Linked DNA regions of Callithrix jacchus. The protein of the gene in region 5 interacts with the protein of the main gene of each other region in a pairwise test. Links are inferred from orthologs where the notes say so. Each region holds a gene or a part of one and is shown on either strand. Other genes may lie near its edges. The genes, in order: FGFR1OP2, OLFM1, FRMD4A, SNAP91, TRAF3IP1, PCNT and GOLGA4.

What was found.
Region 1: the proteins of TRAF3IP1 (region 5) and FGFR1OP2 interact in a two-hybrid assay, tested with the Homo sapiens proteins (2 studies listed by IntAct). The link is inferred for Callithrix jacchus from reciprocal best matches to the Homo sapiens genes TRAF3IP1 and FGFR1OP2.
Region 2: the proteins of TRAF3IP1 (region 5) and OLFM1 interact in a two-hybrid assay, tested with the Homo sapiens proteins (2 studies listed by BioGRID and IntAct). The link is inferred for Callithrix jacchus from reciprocal best matches to the Homo sapiens genes TRAF3IP1 and OLFM1.
Region 3: the proteins of TRAF3IP1 (region 5) and FRMD4A interact in a two-hybrid assay, tested with the Homo sapiens proteins (2 studies listed by BioGRID and IntAct). The link is inferred for Callithrix jacchus from reciprocal best matches to the Homo sapiens genes TRAF3IP1 and FRMD4A.
Region 4: the proteins of TRAF3IP1 (region 5) and SNAP91 interact in a two-hybrid assay, tested with the Homo sapiens proteins (2 studies listed by BioGRID and IntAct). The link is inferred for Callithrix jacchus from reciprocal best matches to the Homo sapiens genes TRAF3IP1 and SNAP91.
Region 6: the proteins of TRAF3IP1 (region 5) and PCNT interact in a two-hybrid assay, tested with the Homo sapiens proteins (2 studies listed by BioGRID and IntAct). The link is inferred for Callithrix jacchus from reciprocal best matches to the Homo sapiens genes TRAF3IP1 and PCNT.
Region 7: the proteins of TRAF3IP1 (region 5) and GOLGA4 interact in a two-hybrid assay, tested with the Homo sapiens proteins (2 studies listed by BioGRID and IntAct). The link is inferred for Callithrix jacchus from reciprocal best matches to the Homo sapiens genes TRAF3IP1 and GOLGA4.

Annotation. Positions count from the first base shown.
Region 1 is NC_133510.1:44,293,204-44,296,703, forward strand, and holds part of FGFR1OP2 (FGFR1 oncogene partner 2), read right to left. Parts: intron 3,102-3,500; exon of another isoform or gene 3,090-3,101; coding exon 2,953-3,089; intron 413-2,952; coding exon 295-412; intron 1-294. UniProt on the Homo sapiens protein: May be involved in wound healing pathway.
Region 2 is NC_133502.1:183,617,287-183,621,302, reverse strand, and holds the start of OLFM1 (noelin), read right to left. Parts: upstream 2,801-4,016; 5' UTR 2,492-2,800; coding exon 2,342-2,491; intron 250-2,341; coding exon 100-249; intron 1-99. UniProt on the Homo sapiens protein: Contributes to the regulation of axonal growth in the embryonic and adult central nervous system by inhibiting interactions between RTN4R and LINGO1. Inhibits RTN4R-mediated axon growth cone collapse.
Region 3 is NC_133508.1:14,621,283-14,624,782, forward strand, and holds part of FRMD4A (FERM domain-containing protein 4A), read right to left. Parts: intron 3,110-3,500; exon of another isoform or gene 3,092-3,109; coding exon 2,199-3,091; exon of another isoform or gene 1,015-2,198; intron 178-1,014; coding exon 81-177; exon of another isoform or gene 1-80. UniProt on the Homo sapiens protein: Scaffolding protein that regulates epithelial cell polarity by connecting ARF6 activation with the PAR3 complex. Plays a redundant role with FRMD4B in epithelial polarization. May regulate MAPT secretion by activating ARF6-signaling.
Region 4 is NC_133505.1:89,164,806-89,168,305, forward strand, and holds part of SNAP91 (clathrin coat assembly protein AP180), read right to left. Parts: intron 756-3,500; coding exon 741-755; intron 599-740; coding exon 431-598; intron 1-430. UniProt on the Homo sapiens protein: Adaptins are components of the adapter complexes which link clathrin to receptors in coated vesicles. Clathrin-associated protein complexes are believed to interact with the cytoplasmic tails of membrane proteins, leading to their selection and concentration.
Region 5 is NC_133507.1:159,646,508-159,650,007, reverse strand, and holds part of TRAF3IP1 (TRAF3-interacting protein 1), read right to left. Parts: intron 3,063-3,500; coding exon 2,994-3,062; intron 2,577-2,993; coding exon 2,415-2,576; intron 1-2,414.
Region 6 is NC_133522.1:52,009,974-52,013,473, reverse strand, and holds part of PCNT (pericentrin), read right to left. Parts: intron 2,331-3,500; coding exon 2,157-2,330; intron 1,601-2,156; coding exon 1,405-1,600; intron 279-1,404; coding exon 56-278; intron 1-55. UniProt on the Homo sapiens protein: Integral component of the filamentous matrix of the centrosome involved in the initial establishment of organized microtubule arrays in both mitosis and meiosis. Plays a role, together with DISC1, in the microtubule network formation.
Region 7 is NC_133518.1:75,183,729-75,187,228, reverse strand, and holds part of GOLGA4 (golgin subfamily A member 4), read right to left. Parts: coding exon 2,193-3,500; intron 1,606-2,192; coding exon 1,484-1,605; intron 745-1,483; coding exon 614-744; intron 1-613. UniProt on the Homo sapiens protein: Involved in vesicular trafficking at the Golgi apparatus level. May play a role in delivery of transport vesicles containing GPI-linked proteins from the trans-Golgi network through its interaction with MACF1. Involved in endosome-to-Golgi trafficking.

The DNA.
Region 1 (3,500 bases), on a different chromosome or scaffold from region 5:
TGTCGAAGACAGACTGGAAGGGGGAAGAGAGACTGGAATCAGGGAGATCAGTTTGGACATTTCGGGTAAGAGACTGAGCATCTAATCTGGGGGCCAATGCAGTGGGACTGCAGAGAACGAAGCTGACTTACTTCATAGCTAACAACAGTGGTGCTAACTGGATATTGAAGGTGAGAATCTAAGAGGATGTAAGCAAGGCAGATGTTTGTATGTAGGTAATAATATAGAGCAATAAATATGGTTTAGGAATGGAGACTAGAAATGGGATTAATGTCAAAAAGTAACATATCTTGCCTTTGTTTTCTTGTTGCAATTCTCTGATTTGTCTGTTTTCTTGCTGGATTCCCATAACTAATGTGGAGCGTGGCCGATGTCTTGCAACTTCATTAAGTTCTTGAATTTCTTCCTGATACTAATGGGGAACAAAACATGTGGGATGAAAATATCTGCAAATATATATCTGATATAGAAATATATCTGAAATATACACATAAATATCTGATAAGAGCTTAGTATCCAGAATATATAAAGAACTCTTACAACTCAACAATAAACTGGAAATAACTTCCATTGTTAAAAGTGGCAAAGGATTTGAATAAATATTTATCTAAAGAAGACACAAATAGCCAATAAGCACATGAAAAGATGCTTAATTAACATAACTAGTCATTACAGGTCTGCAATTCAATATAACCCACTAGGATGATTATAATAAAGACAATAACAATTGTTGGAGAGGATGCGAAGAAAGTGGAACCTTCCATACATTGTTGATGGAATGTAAAGGGATGTAGGTCTTGGGTGTCCAATCTTCTGGCTTCCCTGGGCACGTTGAAGAAGAACTGTCAGGCCATTGCATAAAATACACTAACACTAACTACAGCTGATGAGCTTTAAAAAAAAAAAAAGTTGTGTAATGTTTTAACAAAGTCTGCAAATTTGTGTAGGGCTGCGTTCAAAGCCATCCTGTGCCATATGCAGCCAGCAAGTCACAGGATGGACAAGCTTGGTGCAGCTGCTTTGGGAAACAATGTGGCAGATCCTCAAAAACTTTAACCAAGTTATTATAGGACCCATTCATTCCACTTCTAGGTATATACCCAAGAAAACTGAAAACATATGTATGCACAGAAACTTGTACACAAATATTGACAGCAGCATATTCTTACTAGCCAGAAAGCAAAATAATCTGAATGCCTATCAGCTGATGAATGGATAAAAACAATGTGCTGTATTCCTTATGATGCAATATTTGGCAATAAACAGGAATGAAGTAGTGACACATGCTACAACAGAGATGAACCTTAAAAACATTACGTTAAGAAGCCAATCACAAAACGTCATGTATTTTATCATTCAATTCATATGAAATGTCCAGAATAGGCAAATTTATAGAGATAGAAATATTAGTCATTGCCAAAGACTGAGAAGGAAAGGGGAAACTAGAGAGACCACTGATGGATGTAAGGTTTTATGATGATGAAATGTTCTCGAATCACATAGTGGTTATACTGCATAACCTGCAAATGTGTACTAAAATCCAATGAACTGTATCCTTCATAAAGGTAAATTTTATGGTATGTGAATATCTCAATAATAATTATAGAACATGTACAAAAGAAATGCAAATGGATTTTTCATTAAGAAAATGAGAATCTTATTTTAAAATCACACTCATTTGTTTTCAAGGCATTTTCATCAGACAGTAATACATTCATTATAACACTCCTGGTTCTTTTTTTCCTTTTTTTTTTGAGACGGAGTTTCGCTCTTGTTACCAAGGCTGGAGTGCAATGGCACGGTCTGGGCTCACCACAACCTCCGCCTCCTGGGTTCAGGCAATTCTCCTGCCTCGGCCTCCAGAGTAGTTGGGATTACAGGCACGCGCCACCATGCCCAGCTAATTTTTTGTATTTTTAGTAGAGATGGGGTTTCACCATGTTGACCAAGATGGTCTTGATCTCTTGACCTCGTGATCCACCTGCCCCGGCCTCCCAAAGTGCTGGGATTACAGGCTTGAGCCACCGAGCCCAGCCAACACTCCTGGTTCTTAACTTCAGATGTCAAACTCCTTTTTTAACAACTCAATACCAGATATATGTTCACTGAAGTGCCTGAGTCTAGCTGGGCAGTTGGTTAGGGATGCAGGTAAATCTATTTAGGGCAACAAAGTTGTAAAACCAAATAAGTGAACTTGCTCCACTATTTCCAGTAGCTTTGTTAAAAATACTGTCCTAGAATTGCTTCCATGTACAAAATAGATGAGGAGAGTTGGCTATGGATATACATTTTCCCCCTCTGATTTCCACCATAATGTCAGAGATTTTACAATTTTCTTAAATGACTTGAAAATTTTTATCAGAAGGTTTAAAATAGGGTTTAAACTCCGTGGCCCTATTCTGTTATACAATAGTAAAAATAGCAAGAAGAAAGCCCTTTTTATTTATTCTTTAATTGGCAGCATTGAATAAAAAATAAGGGAGCAAGAATGGGTACAATAATTGCACAGACTATATATCAGATATTACCTTGCATCATTTTCAAAAGCTATTTTGTTGTTAAACAGCATCACCTAAGTACTTTTATAAAGAAAAATATGAACATTTCCACATTATATAAGACAGAACAAAATGTGTACCAACATTAGTAAAAGGTATTAACTGGTCTTTGTCAAATGTTTCTAGACCTAACAAATTCATTTATTTCAGACTCAAATGTGCAACTCTTGTCAGCAAAATAAGCAATCAAATCTAGGTCTAGTTTTGATCTAGAAATGTATGTCTACATATGTCACCTGAACATGACAAAATTAAAGTAAACCTGAAACACACAAGTCAAGTTACTTTAAAATTTAAGAGAACATTGAAAAAAAAAAAGATATATTAATTAGCCAGCAATACATAACTGTCAATGACTGCTTTTGTTAAACAGAAGGAACAAGAAAAATCAAACCTGTTTCATGGCTTCTACTCGCTTGTTGAGAGCTGTGGTTTGCTCAATCAGAGATTCCGCTGCATCGTCGTGATCTCTTAATCTTTCAACAAGAGCTTTAGCATCAGCAAGTGCCTTCTCAATTGTGCAACTCATTTCTAAAGAAATATCTATAATTAAAATTAAAATCAAGACTCAAAATAAAATCAACATATCACCTTATTTTAGTTTCATGTCTACACAGATATGCTCTGTAAGCCACATTTGTTACAATATGGTTTACTGCCTAGGGAGGAAAAAACATCTAAGAACACCTGTGATTTTGCTTCTGTTAGAATGGCACAAACTTGAAAGTAAATTTATAATATTACAAAAAAACTAAAACACATTTAAAAGATTTGCAGGTATAACTAGAATGTATTTAAAACACTCTGAATTTACAGTGGGAAAAAAGTACATGAATATAGTTAGTCCAAAAGTCCAACGAATGTAATGTTACACAGAAATCATGCCCTTTATGAGGGCATTCCCTATCTTGTCACTTTTGAGAAAGATCATTTGGTTCACCG
Region 2 (4,016 bases), on a different chromosome or scaffold from region 5:
TGCAAGCTAGTCAAGCCTTGGTGCTGGTGTGAGCACACAGGCATGGATGTACACACACACACACACACACACACACACACACACTCCATGCAGACTCACCTTCTCCAATAGCTGCCTCAGCTGTTTTGTGCGGGCATCCCGTGAACACATGGTCTGCTGTGGGGCAACCACTGTGCAGATACACCTGCCCTCGCTGTCCTGGGCAGAGCTGTACACCTGCCAGCTCTCCTCAGGGTTGGTGGGCAGCACCTGGAGAGGGCAGGGGTGGGGAGGAAGAGAAAGGGAGACCATGAGGTTGTGCATCAGAGCCAACAACCAGGGGAAACTGTCCACATCCAGTCCCAGGGAAAAGGCAGAAGGAAATGGCCCCAAGACATGTTTGACCCAAAGGGGAGAAAGGGCCCCTGGGAACAAAAAGGCACAGGTCTCCCATTAGGGGGCCCAAGGCTAAAAGGAAGTCAAAGAGGCAGGACCCTTTACGTTCTTAAAATTCAGGTTCAATTCAAGGGATGTCTAGAGTTTGTCATCTGGCCAAATTGATCTGCTGGGTGGGTGGGAGGGGCAACTAGAGGCCACCGGCTGGACGAGGAGCAAGGCAGGAAAGCAAATGCCTGGTGGCTTGCGGAGGGCACGTATTTCAGAAACAGGATATCCTTCCCGTAAGTCATGCATGGGTAGCTGGCACCACCAAGCCTTGCCCTGACATTCCCTAACACTCACAGATGAAGTGTTCACTGTAACAGCCCCAGCTCCAGCAGCCTATTTGCCCAGAGCAGTGATGAACCACGAACCACCACAACCTCCCTGCCAGCAGCTTGGCAAAGACTGACCCAAGAAAACACTAGGTTTCCCATTCCATGTGGGTTCCACCCACGAGCCATTTGGTGGATGTCACCAAATTGCTGGTGACATGTTGTGCAGGGGTCACCCCAACCCCAGTCCTGAGGTTTGCCCAAAGACCACCAAGAAACCAGGGCTGCCCATGTCTGGTGTAACCTTGCAATCCAGCCCTGCCAGGTGCTGGGGCGGGCACTCCGGAGCAAACCCGCTCCACCCTGCTGCTGGCCCCACTGTTTCCAAGCACACTCCCCGCCGGTGGCTTCAGGTCACCTCTCTGCTATTTTTAGCATGAAGATGGGAAGAGAAGTTGGGCGGGGAGAATCTATAGTAGTCATATCTTTAATCTCATTCATTCCCGACTGCACAAGATCGGGCCGGCGGCTGGAACAAAGTCATCATGGAGGAGTCGCCCTTCCATTCCTGAAGGAGCAGGGGGTGTTTTCAAGAGGGGTCTTAGGAGGGAGCCACACCACAGAGCCCTCTTTGCAGAGCACCTAACCTCTGGCAGCAAAAAGGGAGAGGGAGGGAGACTCACGTCCTTCACCTCTCCTTTCAGCCTAAAGGGGCAGTGGTCTGGGGTGCGTGTTCGCAGCGGCAGCCCCTTCCACGCTCGGCCTTCCGGGTGGGTGGTTTCGGCTCAACCTCGCTCAGTCATCTAACTCAGAACAGCCCTGGCCACGGTTCCCCCTCCCACTAAGCTCGGGAGGGAGACCCGATTTCAATTTCAGAGGCCAGGAGGGAGGGGTGCGCGCGGAAGACGGAGGCAAAGGCGACGGGGTGAGCAGCACCCAAGGGCAGGCCCCCAGGGGCCCCGCCCCAGACCCTCGGCACCGTTCTCCGAGGGGAAGGGACGAATCCTTCATGGGGCTGGGGAGGAAAGGGCGTCTTGGGAGTTTGGGAACGCAGGCGCGGGCAGCAGCTCCGGGGGCCCACCGGCGGGGCCCCACTCCCAATCAGGTAGGGCCAGTCTGGCTTTTACAAACTAGGGCGGGCTCAGAGTCCCAGCTGGACAGAGCCCAGACTGAGGTCTAGCGGCGGCTCCACCCCTCACTTGCTGAGTGTGACCTTGGACAGGCCCCCAAGTCCCCAGCCTTAGTTTCTTAACCTTTCAATGAGGGGCTCACAATTCGTGACCCAGGACTCCAAGCCTCCGCGGCCCAGCAGGCTCCCCGGACCCCGCTGCGAGGGGCTCAGGCGAAGGAAACGCCGCCCTAGGGGCGCGCGGGCGGAGACGGAGTGGCCCAGGCTGGGGGCGTGGGGAGCAGGGTCTTCACCGCTGCGCCGGCGCGCGACCCCGGTCATTGCCCACCCTGATCCCCGCCGCCTTCCAGGGCGACTCAGGTCCCGCGCGGCGCCGGCCCAGCCCCGGGCTCAGGACCGAAGCGGGGGAGGGGAGGGGAGGGGAGGAGGAGGAGGAGGAGGAGGAGGAGGAGGAGGAGGAGGAGGAGGAGGAGGAGGGAGGAGGGGGGGCCGAGCCAAGGCGGCCGGCGGGCGCACTTACGCCGGTGCTGCGGTCCAGCGTCCCGCCGCCGGCCGCCGAGAGCTTGGTGGTGTTGAGGCCCACCAGTGAGGGCAGCGTCTGGGACATCCAGTTGGTGATCATGGCCATGGTGCTCAGCACGACCCCGATCTTGAGCAGCGGCACCGACATCGCGCCTGGAGCCGCCTCCAGCGCCCGCTCCGAGCTGGCACCGGCTCCCGCGCCCGGGCGGCCTTCAGGCGGCGGGCACCGCGGCGGGCAGGGGCGCCCGGCTGTGTCCCCGCGCCCCCTCGGCCCGCCGCCGCCCGCCCGCCGCCGCCGCCGCACCGCGCGCCCTGGCCATCGCCGCTCCTTCCCCGGGCGCCAGGGAGGGTGGCCAGGCGGCCGCTGCCCGCCGCGCCCCAAGCCCCGCGCCGCCTGCCCGCCCCGCCGAGTCCCTCCGCGATTCGCCGCCGCCACCGGGAAGCGCCGCTCGGCTCTGAGCGCTGCGCGGGCTGCGCGCGGGGGCCGCGGCCGGGAGGCGGGGCTCGATAGGGCGGGGCCGACGCAATCCGCCCAGGAAATGGGTGGGTTTTTCCTGCACGCGCGGCTCCCCGCCGCCCCCTGGCGCCGGCAGCGAGATCTGCAGACTCCGATCCGCCCAGGAGTTGGGATCGGGGTGACTTGAGGAGACGAACGCGCCCCCGCCCCCGGCTCAGAAAATACCCCGCGGCGGCGGCGCGGGGACCCCAGCTGGGGGCACGGACCGCGCCCTCCCGCGCCGGGCTCCCCCCACCCCACGCCGCGGCCCCTCTCTGATCCCCGAAGAGGGCGCGCTCTGGGGCAAAGGTTGCCCGCGGGGAGACGGCCCCGTCCTGCCTACCGCGGCCCCTTTCCGCGGTGGTTCGAGGGGCCCAGCCAGACTGGGCCGTCGCCTGAAACCGGGCCGGCTCCAAAAGCAGCTGGACTCCCGAGAGTCTCCAGTGCCAGCGGAGTCGGACATCGCTGCAGAGGGAAAAGCGCCCTGCGAGCCCTGGGCGGCCGCGGGGCCCTGAGGCCTCGGGGGAAGGAAGGGCCGGACCCGCACTCCCGGCACCAGCGCTGCTGGGGGTGGCCCGCGGAGCTCAGAGATGCGCCCAGGAGGGCGCACGTGGGGCAGGACCCGCGCAGGGCCTGGGCCTCCGCAGCTAAGAAGGCCACGCCCAGGGGCGTGGTGTGGGGCGGTGGGCGTGGGGGGCGGGGACTGCCGTCTGTGATGGGGGCGTGGGTGTGTGGGGCGGGGACTGGGGTCCGTGGTGGGGGGTGTGTGTGGGGCGGGGACTGGGGTCCGTGATGGGGGCGTGGGTGTGTGGGGCGGGGACTAGGGTCCGTGGTGAGGGGCGGTGGGTGAGTGGGGCGGGGTCTGGAGTCCGTGGTGGGGCGGAGTCTGAGGTCAGTGATTGGGGGCGTGGGTGGGTGGGGCAGGGTGTGTGAGGCAGACATTGGGGGCCGTGGTGGGGGTTGTGGGTGGGTGGGGGGTGTCCTCACTGGCTCCCCGCGCCCCTCTCGGGGGTGGGGCTCGAGTCCTGGCCCCCAGGCTCGGCTGGCGCAGCTGCCCGTCTCCCCGGCCCTCTCGGTGACCGCGGCGTCGGTGACCGCGGCGGGACTCGCGCGCGTATAGGTCCCCACTCCCCCGGAAGCGCAGGCCTGACAGGGTCCGCAGGTTAATAGGCCTTTT
Region 3 (3,500 bases), on a different chromosome or scaffold from region 5:
AACGTCTATGACACTTTGGAGCGGACACAATGAAGAACATGGAATAAGAACCAGGCCAAAGGCCTGGAAGGAGAACTCACCCAGTCTGCCAGGTTAGGATGTGGTGGGGGCTACTTGGGGGGGTGGCTCCAATTTCACTTGAGGGTGTTGAACTTCTCTGGCTTTGAGGTAAGGCAGCTGGATGCAGATGGTGCAACAAAGGCAAAGAGAAGACAGGGATCAGACACAGGCAAAGGGGCTTGTGACTTGCTGGCCAACACCAACCCAGCGGCCAGAGGTCACCCTGTCCAGGAATGCTGGAAAGGACCCCATGTCAGGGTCTCAGCCTCCCTACGGCAAGGTCACAGTGGGGAACCATCTCTGCATGCTCCACCACCCCCCTCCCCTGCAACCTCTGCATTTTCTCGTCACTACCATGCACCTTCCTTCTGAGCCAAGCTGACCTGGGATCCTAGGTCCCCAGTTTGCCATCAGAGAGTGGCCATAGGGATGGTGACAGCTTCTGCAGCAGCAAAGAACCTGATGTCCTCATGTCCTTTGAGAGGACACCTGAGCAGGGCTCATATAGGAAGAGCCTGTTTCTCTGGCCTCAGGGCATTTTCAGTGTGGCCCTGTTTCTCTCCATTGTGAAGACAGTGCACCCAGAAAGATTCTTAAAGCCTGCTCTCTCTGCTGTTTCAGGCTTATCATTGCTACTGTAGTGCGTTTTGAAAAAAGCAGGACTTTTAGTAGCTAATCCAAACCTGACTGGTAGGCATTTACTGATGCAGGCAGATTTAGTAGGAAGTCAGTCCTACTTAAATGCATCCTTTGCTTTCTTGGGAATGGAATCTTTTCCATCAGTAAACTTCAGATACAGCTTCTTAAAAGTTTTACTCTAAAGTATGTTCCAAAAGATCTCCCTAATCTCTTTACATAAAGCAAATCTACTAGACAAGCGCTGCAATTTTGATAGAACATCAACACTCCAGTTTGGCGGAGGTATTTACAAATTGCTGGTTCTTTATCTAATAGGGTCACAGATGAGTGTGCTCAAGATGTTCCTGGGGAGGCAATGGCGAATTTCACTGTGCTGTTTTACAGATGAAGGAGGAATATAAAGAAGGTTCCAGGACCTTGAAGTCCATGGAACTCCCCACGACTGCCTGATCTCTGGAGCTTGTCATTTGGCCAACAACAGGGATATGGGGACAGAAGGCAGGAGCCTGGCTCACTTGGGCAGTCAGCTTCTGCCTCTTTCCCTGCTGTCTCCAGGTACTGAGAATGTCCTACAGTTCCCCCAGGATGAACCCCACATTACCTTTCAGGTCACTCTCTTTCCCCTGATCTTTGTCAAATTCCTGACTCAGAGCTCCTCCCATTGGCTTCTGACTCTCATTTTATCCTTAGTGTTAACCATTTCTGTTCTCTTCATTCTCCCTTTCTGTGAGTGCTAGAGTATGTAAATATGCCAGTGCTGAGACCAGAGCGCAAGGCAACTGCTCAGGGTTGGTCATCACTGTTATTGTTATTAAATGTAGCCTCATTAGGGAATGGTTGGTTGGTTTCTTTCTTTTTTTTACTTGATTCAATACTGCACAATGCTGTTGCTCACAAGAATATAAGGTCAACCTTAACCTTAGATTATGGAAATTTTCAGGCATAATATCCAGGATATTGAAGACGCTTAACTAAAATTAGTTTGTGGCTACGCTGTAACATTGTCACTGAAATGGGAAGCCAGGAGCAGTCAGGAGTTCTGTGACATGCACGGCTCTGGCCCTCTGTTTATCAGCCAGTCTGCCCCTACGTGGGGAGACACTGGCCCAATCTCTAGGATTGACCCAAGCGCATCCCCAACCAGCTTCCTTTGCAAGCCACAGCTGTGGGCTCTCACTTCCTGGCATCCTCTCCTTACTAGGGTAAAGGCGCACCTTTGGTTGGATAAAGCCGGAGACATTACTTAACTTTCTTGGATGGAAGAGATGGTTTAGACCTTGACTAAGCTGGCTTAGTGCCCTCTGGAGGGTCAGGGTGCAATTAGGAAGGGGAGTCAGCACATGCCTCAAGTCTCCCGCAGCTGACAGCAGCGTTCCCGGAGTGAATGACTGACTCTGGTTCCTCACTGCACCCAGATGTAAGGGTACCTCCCGGCAGTAGCCCTGAACACCAGCAGTTCGCACCCAGGCCTTCCCGAACGCGCCCGGCCTCCCCCTCACCTGACGTGGCCTTGCACATCTGAGGCATCCTGGTGACCCTGCTGTGCGCCACAAAGGTGCTCTGGGAGGAGGTGCTGTACTGCGAGCCGCTGTCCGAGGAGGTGGAGCTGGTGTGCGACAGGCGGCTGTGCTCCTTGTGTGAAGCGGTGGAACGCTGGTACCACTGGCGCAGCTCGTCCGACACCGCGGCGCGACCCGCGCCCTTGTCGTGGGAGCCCTCGCGGCCCAGTGATGGAGTCCGCAGGATCTGAGATCGCGATGGCGTCAGGCGGCCCGTGTCGCCCTCGTCACCGCCGCTGCCGCCACCGCGCCAGCTCTCCTTGAACAGGCCACCCGCCGTGTAGGAGTTGGAGGTCTTGAACTGGGCCTTGACACTGTAGTGGCCCTCCTGGTCACTCTCCAGGCTGCGCACCACCACGGGCGTGGCGCCACCCTCGATGTACAGCGGGTACTCCTTGATGCGGTACTGCGAGCTGGGCTGGCTCTGGCTGTGCAGGTACACGCCGCCGCCTGTGCCCCCTGCGCCCCCCACGCCCCCGCGTGCAGCCAGGTTGGGCATGCTGCCCGAGCTGGCTGAGCCCAGCGCGCCCGCTGCCCGCTGTCGCTGCCGCTGCCGCTGGCGCGCCTTGGACGGCGAGTCCTCGGCCAGCGTGGAGTAGTTGGCGTTCATCTGCGCTGGGTAGTAGTGCTCCGAGCTCGAGTGGCTGGTGCACGACGAGCAGTCGTCCATGGGGTCCGAGCCGTTGCTGCTACGAGTCCGCGGGGTATAGAAGTCGGGGCTCCCGGTGTCGTTCTCCGAGCCCAGGAGCTTGCCCTGGGACTCCAGGCTGGAGCTTCGGTGCCTAAAGTGCAGTGCGAGGCTGTGCAGTCGCGTGGGGCTGATGTCCACCGACCTGCCAGGAGACGCCCAGGTTGGTCTGGGGGTGGGAGGTGGGGGGGTGGGCCCGGGGAGGAAGGGGTCCCAGGTAGGGCAATGGGGGCCTCCACGCGGGCTCAGACCCCAGCCCAGCAAGCCAAAGTCTCCCTCAGCAGGGCTGTCCCGGGGATCCGGTAACTGCCTGCTGTTTCCACATGAATGGAATTGTCCTTTGTGGGAGGCGAAGTTAGGGTCTCCACCTTGATTCCCAGTGGGACCGAAGCTAGGACACTCACAGAAGGATTTCCATTTCTGAGGCTTTTTTTTTTTTTTTTTTTTTTTTTTTTTTTTAAGTGGAAATGATTCTGTAGACACAAGGAGAACCACAGAATCATGACTCCAGTATCATGTTAAACCAGCCACCTGGGCACGGTGGCTCAGGCCTG
Region 4 (3,500 bases), on a different chromosome or scaffold from region 5:
AATATTAAGAAATAACTTAGGCCAGTATTGCTCCTCCCACATTCCCCAAATATTCTCTGGGCTAATTTTAAGCTGGCCAAAAACTAAATAAACCTAAAGGTGACAGAGAGCTCTGGTACCACTTTTACACAGACACTGGAGAGCAGGAACATAAAGGCAGGAGTTCTGGTAGCAATTTGAATTCTAATGTTAATAAACCTGAAAATCAAATGGGCCTGATGCACTGCAACCTCGGCTATAAAAGTACTAAAATTAAGTGAAGAGAAAGTTGATAAATTTAGTGAAGATAAATATACATGAATGAACATTGAAAAAGTACTTAAACACTCTGGCATGCTGTTATATAATGTTAACAATTTTAAACACCTTAACTCTCAAGTAATTTTTGCAATCCTGAAAGGAAACAAAAATAGTGGCGAGACTAACTAACCTCCAAAGAGATCCACTTCAGCAGTGACAGCAGTAACAGTTGTAGTAGTAGAGGCAGAAGCTGAGGCAGTTGCAATTTCAGCACTTGTAGTAGGAGGGGTAGGTTCTGGTGCAAATGGGTCTGAAATCTGTGCTTCAGAGGGAACAGAGGAGAGTGCAGCCAAAGAATCTATATTTTACCAGAGACAGAGAGAAAATGGAAGAGAAGGAAAAGACGAAAGATATACCAGACTCCAAATGGTCAAAATGAGGACAGTTGTTACACACAGAAGTCACTCAAAATGGAAGTTTAAAAACAAAGCTTTACTCACCCTCTCCTAAAAGGTCTACCGATGTCCATTACATTGGCAGCATATGAATAAATAAGAGCTAAAGTTGAAACACGCAACCATACCAATGTCCAAGCCACATAAGGCAGTAACTAAAAAAACCTTAGCTTTATGTATCTTCTACACCATTTGTAATTAAAAAATAAATGCACTACCTATTATTGTGGAACTTTCAAGCTAGAAGTCACCTTATAGATCCTTTAGACCAAGTTTCACCTATAGACATATACACTAGATTTTATTAACAAGAAAACAGGTCACAAAACTACTTGTACTATAGTTAACCTTATACATGAAGATATCAGAATCATATGATCACATAATATTGATTAGCTTTCCAATATGTGTTGGTAAATAATTTTAATTCTAACAAATTCTGGTAGTAATCCCATATATCTCAAAAAAGTAGAAATTTCACTTTAAGCATGTACAAAAAGAAACAGTTTTCCCATGTCTAAAATATACAGACATAAAACACACACTTATGGCTGGGCGCGGTGGCTCAAGCCTGTAATCCCAGCACTTTGGGAGGCCAAGGCGGGTGGATCACGAGGTCAAGAGATCGAGACCATCCTGGTCAACATGGTGAAACCCCGTCTCTACTAAAAATACAAAAATTAGCTGGGCATGGTGGCACGTGCCTGTAATCTCAGCTACTCGGGAGGCTGAGGCAGGAGAATTGCCTGAACCCAGGAGGCGGAGGTTGCCGTGAGCCGAGATCGCGCCATTGCACTCCAGCCTGGGTAACAAAAGCGAAACTCCATCTCAAAAAAAAAAAAAAAACCAAAAAAAAAAACAAAAACAAAAACACGTATTTGTGCTCTGCAACATGAATTTATTATGAAGAAAATAAAACACTCTATTATGGAACCAAAGATGAGGATTTTAAAAATTCTCTATATTCTTTCAGCTGACGGGGTTCATCACCAACCTGTAGAAATGCCAAATCTTACATGCACAATTTAAATTAAATTTACTAAAGTGAATTTGCTAAAATTTGTTGCTCTACACCAACAGGGGAAAAAATGCTATCATTACAGTATGTCCCCTGAAGTAAAAATTGTGTGTTAGAACCTATAACCCCCAAGAGAAATTTACAGAAATCAGAGTGGCCATGGTCCTTGGAAATGAGACCATCCAAATAGTCTAATAGAATTTTAGAGTTTATATTTTATTGTCTAGCTATACAGAATTCAAATATGCTTCACCTTATCAAACAAGATTGGCTTAATCTTATCTAACAAGATTGAGAAAACAATTTTATTTTATTTTTTGCTTAGTCAAATGAATGAACACATATCTGTTACAATTTAGCATCATCTTCAACCATGACTGGGTATCTACTGGGCAAATGCAAATAGAAGGTAACCATTATTTCTCAATTACATATTATAAAAGTGTACTTCAATTTCTTGAAGTCTTATAATTTTTACTATTTTGCTTAGAAATTTCTTTATTAGATTTCTCCCCACTGCTCCAGCAAAGGTGACTTTTCAATTGCTATGAAATGCTGCAGTTACAGATATTTTGTTGAGGCAAAAGTGCTGTCTAATCATCAAAAGATGACCATCAGGCCCTATATGGTGCCTTTGTATTAATTATAAAAATGTACTCCCTGGGGTAAGAGAGGGAGAGCATTAGGACAAATACTTAATGCTTGTGGGGCTTAAAACGTAGATGATGGGCCAGGCATGGTGGCTCACACCTGTAATCCCAGCACTTTGAGAGGCCAAGGCGGGTTGATCACGAGGTCAGGAGTTCAAGACCAGCCTGGCCAACATGGTGAAACCCTGTTTCTACTAAAAATAGAAAAATTAGCTGGCATGGTGGCACACGTCTGTAATCCCAGCTAATCAGGAGGCTGAGGCAGAAGAATCACTTGAACCCAGAAGGCAGAGGTTGCAGTGAGCCGAGACTGTGCCACTGCATTCTAGCCTGGGCAACAGAGCAAGACTCTCTCTCAAAAACAACAATAACAACAACAACAAAAACTTAGATGACAGGTTGATAGGTGCAGCAAACCACCATGGCACATGTATACCTACGTAACAAACCAGAACATTCTACACATGTATCCATCCGGAACTTAAAGTTAAAAAAAAAAAAGAAATAAGAAAGTTTACATGATTTTCACATTTTTATCATTTTAAACAAGTTAGAGATAGTACCTTTCTTGTAGTGTAGTGATGACCAGCATAGTACTTGTCACAGAAGGAGCATTCAACAATATTAGCTTTCACTGTAACTTTAGAACTTAGTTTTTATTTTTAAATGAATCTTATAAAAAATTTTTTTTAATTTTTTATTGCATTTTAGGTTTTGGGGTACATGTGCAGAACATGCAAGACAATTGCATAGGTACACATATGGCAGTGTGTTTTGCTTCCTTCGCCCCTTCACCCACATTTGGCATTTCTCCCCAGGCTATCCCTCCCCAGCTCCCCCCGCCCCACACTGGCCCTCCCCTTTTCCCCGCTATAGACCCCAGTGTTTAGTACTCCCCTCCCTGTGTCCATGTGTTCTCATTTTTCATCACCCGCCTATGAGTGAGAATAGTCACTTAAAATTTAAAAAAGCATAAAAATATGCTTTTAAAAATCAAACTACTATGGAAATTTCTTTATTCCAAATTTTGGCCCATTAGCTTACCTGTTGGGACAACTGATGTTTAGCCATGTGAACAGGCGCCATTTCTCAGAAATATAATTTGGATCCAACAGCCTTTTTGGTGTATTTTTTTTA
Region 5 (3,500 bases):
GGGTAAACCGGGAGAACTCAGACTGCACATAAAGTGAAATTAAGTCAAATATATTAAGTAAAATAAGCCAGTCAAAGAAAAAGACAAATACTCCATGTTCCACTTAACTGAGGTCCGCCAGAGTAGTCAGATTCACAGAGACAGAAAACAGAATGGAGGTTGCCAGGGGTCGGGGGCTGGGAGAAGAGGAAGTGAGTGTTTCATGGGGACAGAGTCTGTTTTGCAAGACGAAGCATCCTGGAGATGGAAGCGGTGATGGCTGCACAACTTGATGAATGAATTTCCCACCACTGAAGTGTACACTTCAACATGGTTAGCATGATACATTTTTTTTTTAGTTGCATTTTAGGTTTTGGGGTACATGTGCGGAACATGCAAGATAGTTGCATAGGTACACACGTGGCAGTGTGATTTGCTGCCTTCCTCCCCTTCACCCACATCTGGCATTTCTCCCCATGCTATCCCTCCCCAACTCCCCCCACCGCTGTCCCTCTCCTATTCCCCCCAACAGACCCCAGTGTGTGATGCTCCCCTCCCTGTGTCCATGTGTTCTCATTGTTCATCACCCGCCTATGAGTGAGAACATGTGGTATTTCATTTTCTGTTCTTGTGTCAGTTTGCTGAGAATGATGTTCTCCAGATTCATCCATGTCCCTACAAAGGACATGAACTCATCGGTTTTGATTGCTGCATAATACTCCATGGTGTATATGTGCCACATTTTCCCAGTTCAGTCTATCATCGATGAGCATTTGGGTTGGTTCCAGGTCTTTGCTATTGTAAACAGTGCTGCAATGAACATTCGTGTGCATGTGTTACATTTTATGTTACATGGATTTTAACACAATAATAAAATTATTGGGGGGGGGAATCTGATCTAATTCAAGCCCCGTCAAATGCAAAACGTATCCCTGACAGCCATCCAGAGTCTATGACACCTCCAGTCAGGAGTCCCACTCACTCACACACTCATTCCACAAGCACACGCTAAGTGACTGCCACGTGCCAGGCTCCATGGGCCAATGACTCACTATGTACTGGGGACACAGACAGACATAACAATGAAACAACAGCCTGTAGGAAGCCTACAGGGGCACCCAAGTCAGCCTGGGAGGGAGGAGAGGCCTGGGCTCAAGGCAGCGCTCATAGATGCCACACTGCTGCTCAATGAGGCTGGAGGAGGAAGGCAGCTCAGGCACTAACAAGCCAGTAAGCACCAGGGCACGAGACTGATGGGAGACAGTGGGCCAGGGCTGAATGCCATGGTGTGTGTGACTGGAGTGGAGGGCTCCGGTGTGGGAAATGAGAGAAGGACCTGAGGGGAAAAAGTAGCAGCAGGTCTCTAGGAGCCTCACAAGCCATGCCATGGAGCTGGCCTGACCCTGAGGCTACTGGAAGTGGAGAAGATTCAGCAGAGGACACAGGAGTCAGATGTGCTTTTCAGAAAGAAGAGCAACATAAAGGACCCGGGAAGGGGATCTGGGGAGCCTGGGGACAGAGGCCAGTGTACCGGCAAAATCTGCTTCCAAGTCTCTAAGCTTACATGCTGGACCTGCACTAGGGCGAGGCCTCCCAGAAGTTGGCTGGACACCCCTACACACCTCCATGACCCACTGCCGTTGAGGGGGCTGAAACCCACCTGTTCCCATGTGCATCACATTTAAGATTAGCCCCCAGCCAACCACCCACTAGGTATGTGGAAAACTGTATTAACTGTACTCTGAGTACAAGCCCAACCTGCTCCTCCAAGGACGACTACTTGGCCTTCAATAGAAGGAAGACGGTGGGGGAAGACCTTCTCCAATGCTCGGGCAAACATGGCCCAGGCTGGACCTAACCAGAGAAGCCTGAGGCCTGACACCCAAGTTTCCAGCCCACTGTGACAAGCTCAGGAAAGAACAAATCTACTCCCTGTACAATTGAAACAGCAACTGGGAGAGAGAGAGAGAAAGAGTAGAGAAGAGAGAGGAAGAATGACAGGTAAGCAAACATCGCAGGAAGAGAACAGAGACCTCCACAAGAAAAAAAGCACATCTGCGATACTCCAGCCCTGGCTGGAAGCAGCTACCTGTCCTCAAGGGAGCCCCAAAAAAGAGAAAGCCAGAGGACATGGAAGCCTGGGCCTGCAGCCTCCAGCTGCCAGCTGGGCACAGAGTGCCTGCAGCATTCCCAATTTTATATTGAAAGCTTGCAGAACTTATATATAACAAACACTTACTTGTTTTGTTCAGTTTTAAATTCCTCCTCCTGGATCTCTAGGGCTCCAGAAGGAGTAGGATCAGATTCAAAGCACAGCGTTTGACAGACGCCTTTGAAAGTCCTTCCTTAAACCGTCCGCACATTTGAGTCCCTCACCCCCGACTGCTTGTTACTCAAGCACTAAGTTCAAAATGCCAGGACGGCAGTAGTAGTACCTTGTTGAGACAGCATTTTCCAATTATCTGGAGCAGCTCATTTGTTCTCTCAGGTTCATGCCCGGCCACAATTCGGGCTGGCTTTGCCAACAGTGGCTCTCCTGAAACCATTACAACCACGTCTATGGCTTTCTGCAGGAAGCTGATTTTTGCATCTTTATCCTGAAATATTTCCATTGAAAATACAAATATTATAATACTTTGAAGAGTTTGCATTATCTTCAGCAGGTTCAACAGGCACAGGATAGTTTCTGTTTACATACAAAGCTATTTTTAGATATATAACAAATCTAGAAATACTGATCTTCACTGGCAAAACAAAATCAATTCAGTAAAGCCTTTAATTTAGTTGACGGGCTAGCATTAAGCTTTGAAATACCAATTCCACTTTTCAGTGAATAAAACTAGCATGACACGCAGTTGCCACAATGAGAAAGGGGATATACATCAATTCATGAATTCACCGACCTTGTATTCCACCCACATGCAGCACAGAAATGACACACCACACCACCTGGATGACAAAAAGTCCCATCCAGTAAGCAAGGGGTCAACAGGAGACACCCGACTCCAACCTACCTTCACGTTATCAGACTTCATCTCGGTGTCTGTGTAGAGGCCCTTCATGAAACCAGTCATTCTAATCACCTTCAAGAGAGAAAAAAAAGGCCACCACTGTCACCTCAGGGACAGCCTCCTCATCCGCCTCATCCACTGAACTCCACACCTGGGAGATGTCAGAATTGACTGGCAGCCCAGACCCATCCACTTACTCAAGAAATACTTGATATCTACTACGCGTGTGTACAGGGCAGAAGCCAGCCAGGTCCTCACAGAATTTAGTGTGGCTGTATGGACAGACGGGTAAAGATGACACCATCCAGATACTAAGGAAGAACTTAGGTTTGGTACCTAGTCCACAATCCAGGAGGGGAAGGGGTGGCAGGAGCCCTTCCTGGAGGAATCACACCTAGATGGGGATCAGAAGGCTTACAGAAGAGTTGGACACACATACCAGATGGAAGAAAGTCCGCATAAGGTCCAGAGTCCTGTGCAAGAAATCCAAAGAAAGGTAGGATGGCAGGA
Region 6 (3,500 bases), on a different chromosome or scaffold from region 5:
GTGGCCACAACGGCGAGACTCCTGCCAGTGTCCGGGGAAGGTGGATGCCACGCACCTCAGCTGGAGGACCTCCTGCTGCACCTCGTGTAAGGCGCTGGACAGCCGCTCGCTCTCCTGCCTGCACTCGCAGAGCTGAGACTTCAAGTCCCACACTGCATTCTGCTCAGCCGCCAGGAGCTTCTGCAGACCGCTTGCTTTCTCTTCCTCTTCTCTCAGTGTCTTCTGTAAGTCGCCTGCAATGGACTTCTCCTGCTCTACTTTATAGGTCAGCAGTTCAACTGAGAAAGACGAAAGAACAGAAATACAGGCCCCGTGAGCACCCCATGCTGCACGCGTGACACAGGTTAGAGACAGACTTGTCGGGGCACGGGCTGAATCCACTTTGGGAAGAAAGGAGGTTCTGTGGACTAGAAGCTTTTGTTGTGGGTGGAGCAGGACGCTCATTTCTGCCATCTGGGCCACTTCCTTCTGGGCCCACGCTCCTGGTGGGGAGCCCACGGAGCACAGGAGTGATGTGTCCCTGTGGCCGTCCTGAAATGCCACCCCAGCCCCATTCACACCCTAAACTGCCTCCAATAGAGGCAACTCCAGGCCCAGGTGGCTTTACTGGAAAATTCTTCCAAAACTTAAAAGAACCCCAATTCTAGACAATGGAGGGGATACTTCCCAAACCCCCATGGGGTTGGCGCTACCTAGCATCAAGCAGAAAAAGGCACAAGAGAAAGGAATCCAGAGATCAGCGCCCCTCTCCACAGAAAGGAAACTGAGACCAGCGCCCGCCCCCAGCCCAGAGACCATGAAGGGAAGGACAAGGGCGCTGGACAAAGGCCGTGGCCTCAACTGCAAGGCTTTTCCCCTTGACAGAATCCAAAACTAGGAACAGAGGGCACTTGCCTGAGCTGAACAAAGGTGCCTGACCCCACATGCACGGGCACAAGACCAGGTCCTGCCCCCAAAACTGAGAGCAGAGAAGGGCATCTGCCCATGCAGCTGGTGGCACAGCACTCAAGAGAAATGGCGGGAAATGAAAAATCAATCATTACTTACCCACGATGATGGGAGTGTTTACATAAAAACTCCCAAAGGACCTGAACTCAATGTAGAAACCTACAAGACATTCCTAACTCTAGTGCAAGCTCCCCAAACTCTGCCAGCACTCAGAGCCCAACACAGACCCCTCCTGCCCACACCAGGCCTGGCCATGAGGCCTCCATGCCCTGGCCCCTCCCAGCTCTGCCTGTCTCCAGGGCCCTTTCTGCTCCCTTCTATCAGCTGCCAACTGTAGCGACACTTGGGGGCCCAACAAGATGATAGCCTGTCACCACCTCTGCCCCAAGGCCACACAGGTGAGCATCAGGTGGGCAGGGGCAGGGCCCCACAGGCAACGTGAACAGTGGCACCCACCCTGCCTGCGCAGCTGGTGCTCCTGCTGGCTCCCACACGCCTCCGCGCTGGTCAGTGCCATGCGCAAGTGCTGCAGCTTCTCCTGGTTCTGCAGGTGTGTCATGCGCAGCTGGGCACGCAGAGCCTGGATCTCAGACAACAGGCTGCTCCGGTCCAGCAGGCGAAGATGCTCCAGTGACTTTTCCTGCAGGTCTCCCTGGGGGCAGAGGGGGAAAAGCCTGAGCCCCAGGTGGCTGCCGCATGCCCCAGCCTTCCAAGCCTGCTGAGTCTAGAGAGGGTGCACAATAGCCCCTGGGCCTCAGCTCAGGCCTGTGGGCATCAGGGCTGGGCCATGCTACCCTACATGAAGCCTGCAAGCTGGTTACTCTCAACACTGGGTCTCCTCACGTGTACAATGGCGGCAACAGGATTTCTAGTGTCCCCACAGCACCAACGCCACCCAGCTCTGCACACAGAGAACCTCACCACCCAGGAGGGGCTACTTGGAACATGGAATGTCTCGAGCTGCTAATCTCGAAACAGAGTAAGGTAGTGAGGGTGGATCACATGCACAGCTGTCCTCATCAGAGCTGCAGACGGAAAATCATAGCAGCCCACGTGGACTGAGCGTGACCACCTGGGGCACAGCCACATTCCAGCGGTGGAGAGAAACACACAAACAAAATTCAGATATAAAACAGTCCGTATAACCCACTCTGCCAGGGCTGGACTCCTGGGGTAAACTGAGGCCTGGTGGCACAGCTGTCCCTCACCTGCTCACAGATGACCTTCTCCAGCCTTTCAAGCAGGGAGCTGCGACACCCCGGATCCGAGCCCCCGAGTTGGGGCTGCAGCTCAACCCCCTGCATCTGCTGCTCTTTTTCAAATGCCTCCTGCACAACCTGCAGAAACTCCCCACTCCAGTCAGGGCACGTGCTGGGCAGGTCCTAAAGTGTGAAGGAGCAAACAGTCCTCACAAGTGCACCTGCAGGTGTCATGAGGACTGCATGCTCGCCCCCCAAAGTTCCCAGTGTGACTGCATTTGCAGATGGGGCCTGTGGGAGATGATTCAGAGTAAACGAGGCCTCGTAAGAAGAAGAGATGCCAGAGCTCGCTCACTCTCCACCATGTGAGGCCATAGCAGGGCAGCGCTGTCTGCAAACCAGCACCCAGCCCTGTGGCACCTGATTCCAGAACAGATGAAATCAAGGTCTGCCATTTACACCCCTGCACTGGGGTGTTCTGTTATGGCAGCTGAGCAGATGGACACCCATTCAAACAGAAATGACCCTGACAGAAGAGAAGATTACACACTGCCCAGGGCCATGTGGGGCACCAGAAGCAAACGCTGCCATCATGAGAAGAGAAGAGGCGAAAAAACGATACAGTAAGGTCAGGAAAACATCAGCAAAGCTCCTTCTTTCTTTTCCTGCTGCTGCACCTTCGAGGCCCAGAGCCTAGAGGGGTCTAAGGCTACAAGGGGCTGCCCAGTGGTCCCCGGGGCGGCATGCAGCACCAATGAGCCTCCTGAGTGCCAGCCAGGCTGCTGCTTGCACATGACAAGGGGCTGCCCAGTGGTCCCCGGGGCGGCAAGCAGCACCAATGAGCCTCCTGAGTGCCAGCCAGGCTGCTGCTTGCACATGACAAGGGCCTGCTGGAGGGGCAGGCAGCGGCAGATGGGGCTGACCCACCAGCTCTCCAGGGTACCAGCATGTCGTGCGAGTCCCAGGCACAGGGGACAAGTCCGTCCCTGCCTCACGAAGCTCTAATCCTGGTCAGAGGCAGACGCAGGGGCAAGATGGGGCGGGCATGGAAGATGGGAGGAAGCATGACAGGGCTCAGCACCCACCCCACAAACTCTGCAGGCCCTGGGGCTGGAGGGAGAAAAGCAGAAAGATGGGCAGGGATTGGGGAGAAGTGGGACAGGGGAGGGGCAGGCAGCACAGAGATGAGGCCCTGAGGTCCAGTTGCCGAGGCCTGGGGTGTGGAAGGGGAGGTAGGAGAGGCCCATTGGAAGGAACAAGGCCAGGGGGCGTCACCAGAGGGACAGGAGGAGGGGCCTTGGGGCCAAGTGGTGGGATGGGCTGAGTCCTCAGGCCACATGGCCAAGAGAGAGC
Region 7 (3,500 bases), on a different chromosome or scaffold from region 5:
GCAATGCATTAGTGGCATATTCTAATGGCAACATAACATTAATAGAGTAAGTACTTTCAAATAACTTTCCACTAAATATAAAAGATTTGGCTTCTGCATTCCATTTTTTCCCATTTTTTTTCTCCTCAGACCAATACAACCTCCACATATTGGGTGGAGATGGAATAAAGTTAACTGGCCCTCCCAGAAAGATCCCAGCTAAGTTAAGCAGCCACATTTAAACACAAACTCACTATCCCACTACTTAGACTTCTTCACCTAAGCACAGGCCTTGATTCTTAGTCCGGTTCTCTCACACTTCCATCAGAAGCTGTAAGGCAGACGGGAAAGAATCTATTCTCCCTTTTAGTAACTGCTGTTGCTTCAATACTATCAAGGGGACTGTGCTGCCTGGTTAGTAGAATCCGATCAGGAAATTTCAATCCTGAAAGAAATCAATTTGACTCTATAAATCTGCATATAATATAAAATAATTAATTTGAATAATATTAAGCCCAAAAAAACTCTTTTCAACCAAAAAAAAAACCACACTGGAAAAGGAAATTTTTGGCAGTACCATGAAATCTATTACAGCTAAATTTCTAAAGTGAGAGAGAGAAAATAAGGTGCATACATCAAGAATTTCTTCATATTTTTTGGCTGTTCGTTTAAGATCATCATCTTTCTCAGCAATTTTTTTAAGTAACTGATTTGTCTCTTCTTGATGGCTCTCTAAAAGTTCAGCCTCCACCTCCTGGGCCTTATCTATTAAATAAAAATGGACACACACAAGAAAACACATTAGTCAAGAGTGAATATTTATATCTCAATTTTAGTTAACAACTCTCATTCCGATTAATTTTGATGAAATTTAATTTTATATAAGCATTGTAAGATGTTCAATGAGACAGCTAGCTCAACACTGATCAAATGTCTCCCTGAGCAAAAGCGTCTTTTCTTTTTTTTTGAGACGGACTCTCACTCTGGACCCAGGCTGGAGTGCAATGGCATGATCTCCACTCAGTGCAACCTCCGCCTCCCAGGTTCAAGTGATTCTCTTGCCGCAGCCTCCTGAGTAGCTGGGACTACAGGTGCGTGCCACTGCACTCAGCTAATTTTTGTATTTTTAGTAGATATGGGGTTTCAACATCTTGGCCAGGCTGGTCTCGAACTTCTGACCTCATGATCCACCCGCCTCAGCCTCCCAAAGTGCTAGGATTACAGGCGGGAGCCACCGTGCCCAGCCCAAAAGTGTCTTTATAAAGTAATTAATGAGCTAATTCTTTCAGATTCATTTACTTACTCCCCCTCCTCTCCTTAAGGTAAGTCATTGCCAGGCAGAGCAAGTTCCCATTAGAGAATGTTCTGGGGCAAAAAATTACTTCTCCTCCAGTTTAATGACTTAATGCACTTACCACAAGTGCAAAAATAATAAGCTTAAATTATAGCCTCTGCTGATATAATTGTTCCTTATGGAAATCAAACTTTTACAACTTTTACTTACTGATAGTTTCTTTTATGGTCATTTCCAGCTCTTGTTCCTTTTGTGCCAGCTGAGTATTAAACTCCCTCATCAGCTGTTTTAATGTGGAATTGTGCTTCAGTTCAAGATCTTCCTGCTCCTGTCTGAGTAACAAAAATGTACAGTTAACTGCTGCCACACAAAGAAGAAGCTGCAAAGAGCTACCTGATCTTCAAAATAGTGCATACAGTGTGAGTTCACTGTATGAAAACATTTTTCAGAGAGGGAGAGAGAGAGAGAGAGAGAGAGAGAGAGAGAGAGAGAGAGAGAGAGAATGTGTGTGTGTAAGGACATATCAACTATGATCACCTGTAAGGAGTGGTCCTGGGGACCAGAGAATTTGTTTTCCACTTTAAATTTTTTTCAAAACACATCTATGTTATATAATAATAATGCTAATACTAAAAACAATTAAACAGAAAGAAAATAATTACCTCAATATGACCCTAATAACCAGAATCTTATATGGAAGAAAAGGTTTTTCTCCCCTAAATGGCCATGGAATAACACTGTCATTTGTCCTAAATTGTTTTTATTTCTCCTCATACTTAATGTATTGGATTTATGTTTAATATTTTGCGTTGGCGAGACTTGCCCAAATAATTTTAAATTACTCTATTAGGCACACAAAAAAAGGAGACTTAATTAAGAAGGACCACCATAAAAATATTCATGCTGAAATAAAACTTACTTGATTTTCTCTTCCCTTTCTTGTTCATATTCTTTCTTTAGTATTTCCAATTCTTGCTGATGCTCCTTTCTCAACATTCGAAGGTCCTTCTGCAATCTAACAATCTCCTTGCCCAGTTTCTGTTTCTCCCGTTCTGCCCCTGCTAATTTAAACTCCAGGTCATTGTGCTGGCCTTCCATGTTACTAAGCAATTTGGATTGGACCAAATGTAATTTGGATTTTTCTTCAGTGTTTTCCTCCAAAAGTTCTGTGGGTTTATTTTTTCCATCCATCTGTTGTTGTAAAGCCTGTAATTTTTCATATTTTGAGGTCAACTCTTCCATTTCAACTCCATGTACTTCTTTCTGTCTTACTAAGCAGGAATCCAGCTCTTTTATCTTTTGCTCCAAGATCTGACAGGTTAGTTCCTTCTCCTGGAGGGTTTTCTGGACATCGTCAACCACATTTTCCAAGTTTTGCTTTGCCTCTGTGTTATTTTTACCTCTCCCTTCTTCCACATGTTGGGATACTATCAAGGAATATTTCTTGTTTTTTTCGTTAAGTTCTTCTTGAAGATGATCTGTCATAACTTGTTCTTCACGTTGCTTTGCTTCATCATGTTCGAGCTTCATTAAGAGCTCCTGGTATTTGCACTGCATTTCAGAATGAGAAGAAAGTGTCTCTTCTTTTTCTTGCTCCAGCCTCTGCAACAGCTTTTCTTTTTCAGTTAAATTTCTTTGTAAAACACTGATTTCTTCTTCATACATCTTCTGCACACAGTCTTGGGAATCTGCTTCTTCTTCTTCAGTACATGCTGCCGCATTTTTTGATGATCTGGGTACAATTAATGTTTCGGACTGTGAACTTTTCACTGATATCAGTTTTTCTTCCAAGATGTGAACTTCCCTTTCTCTTTCCTGCAATTTTGCATTTAGCTCACTCAAATGGCTTTCTGTGTCTTTTTTATACTGTTCTTCTTTCTCTTCCATTTGAGATAATAGCTGCTTTTTAATGGCAGCAATTTTGTGTTCAGCTTTTTTCTTCAACTCTGCTAATTTTGCAGCACTCTCTGACTCAAGCCTATCTTCCAATGCCTTTAACTCCTCTTCTTTGCTTTTCAAGCTTAAATTCGCATGTTCTAATTCTTTCTTCTTAGTTTCAACTTCGGCTTTCATGGAATCAACTTGCTTTTCAAGCGTTAAGACCTTTTCTTCAGCTTCTTTAACCCTGCTGTCCTTTTCTTCTCCTAACTGTTGAAAATGTTCAAGTTTCTGAACCAATTCTTTGTTTTCAATATCCTTTTGTTGACTGTAATTTTTAAGAACTTCA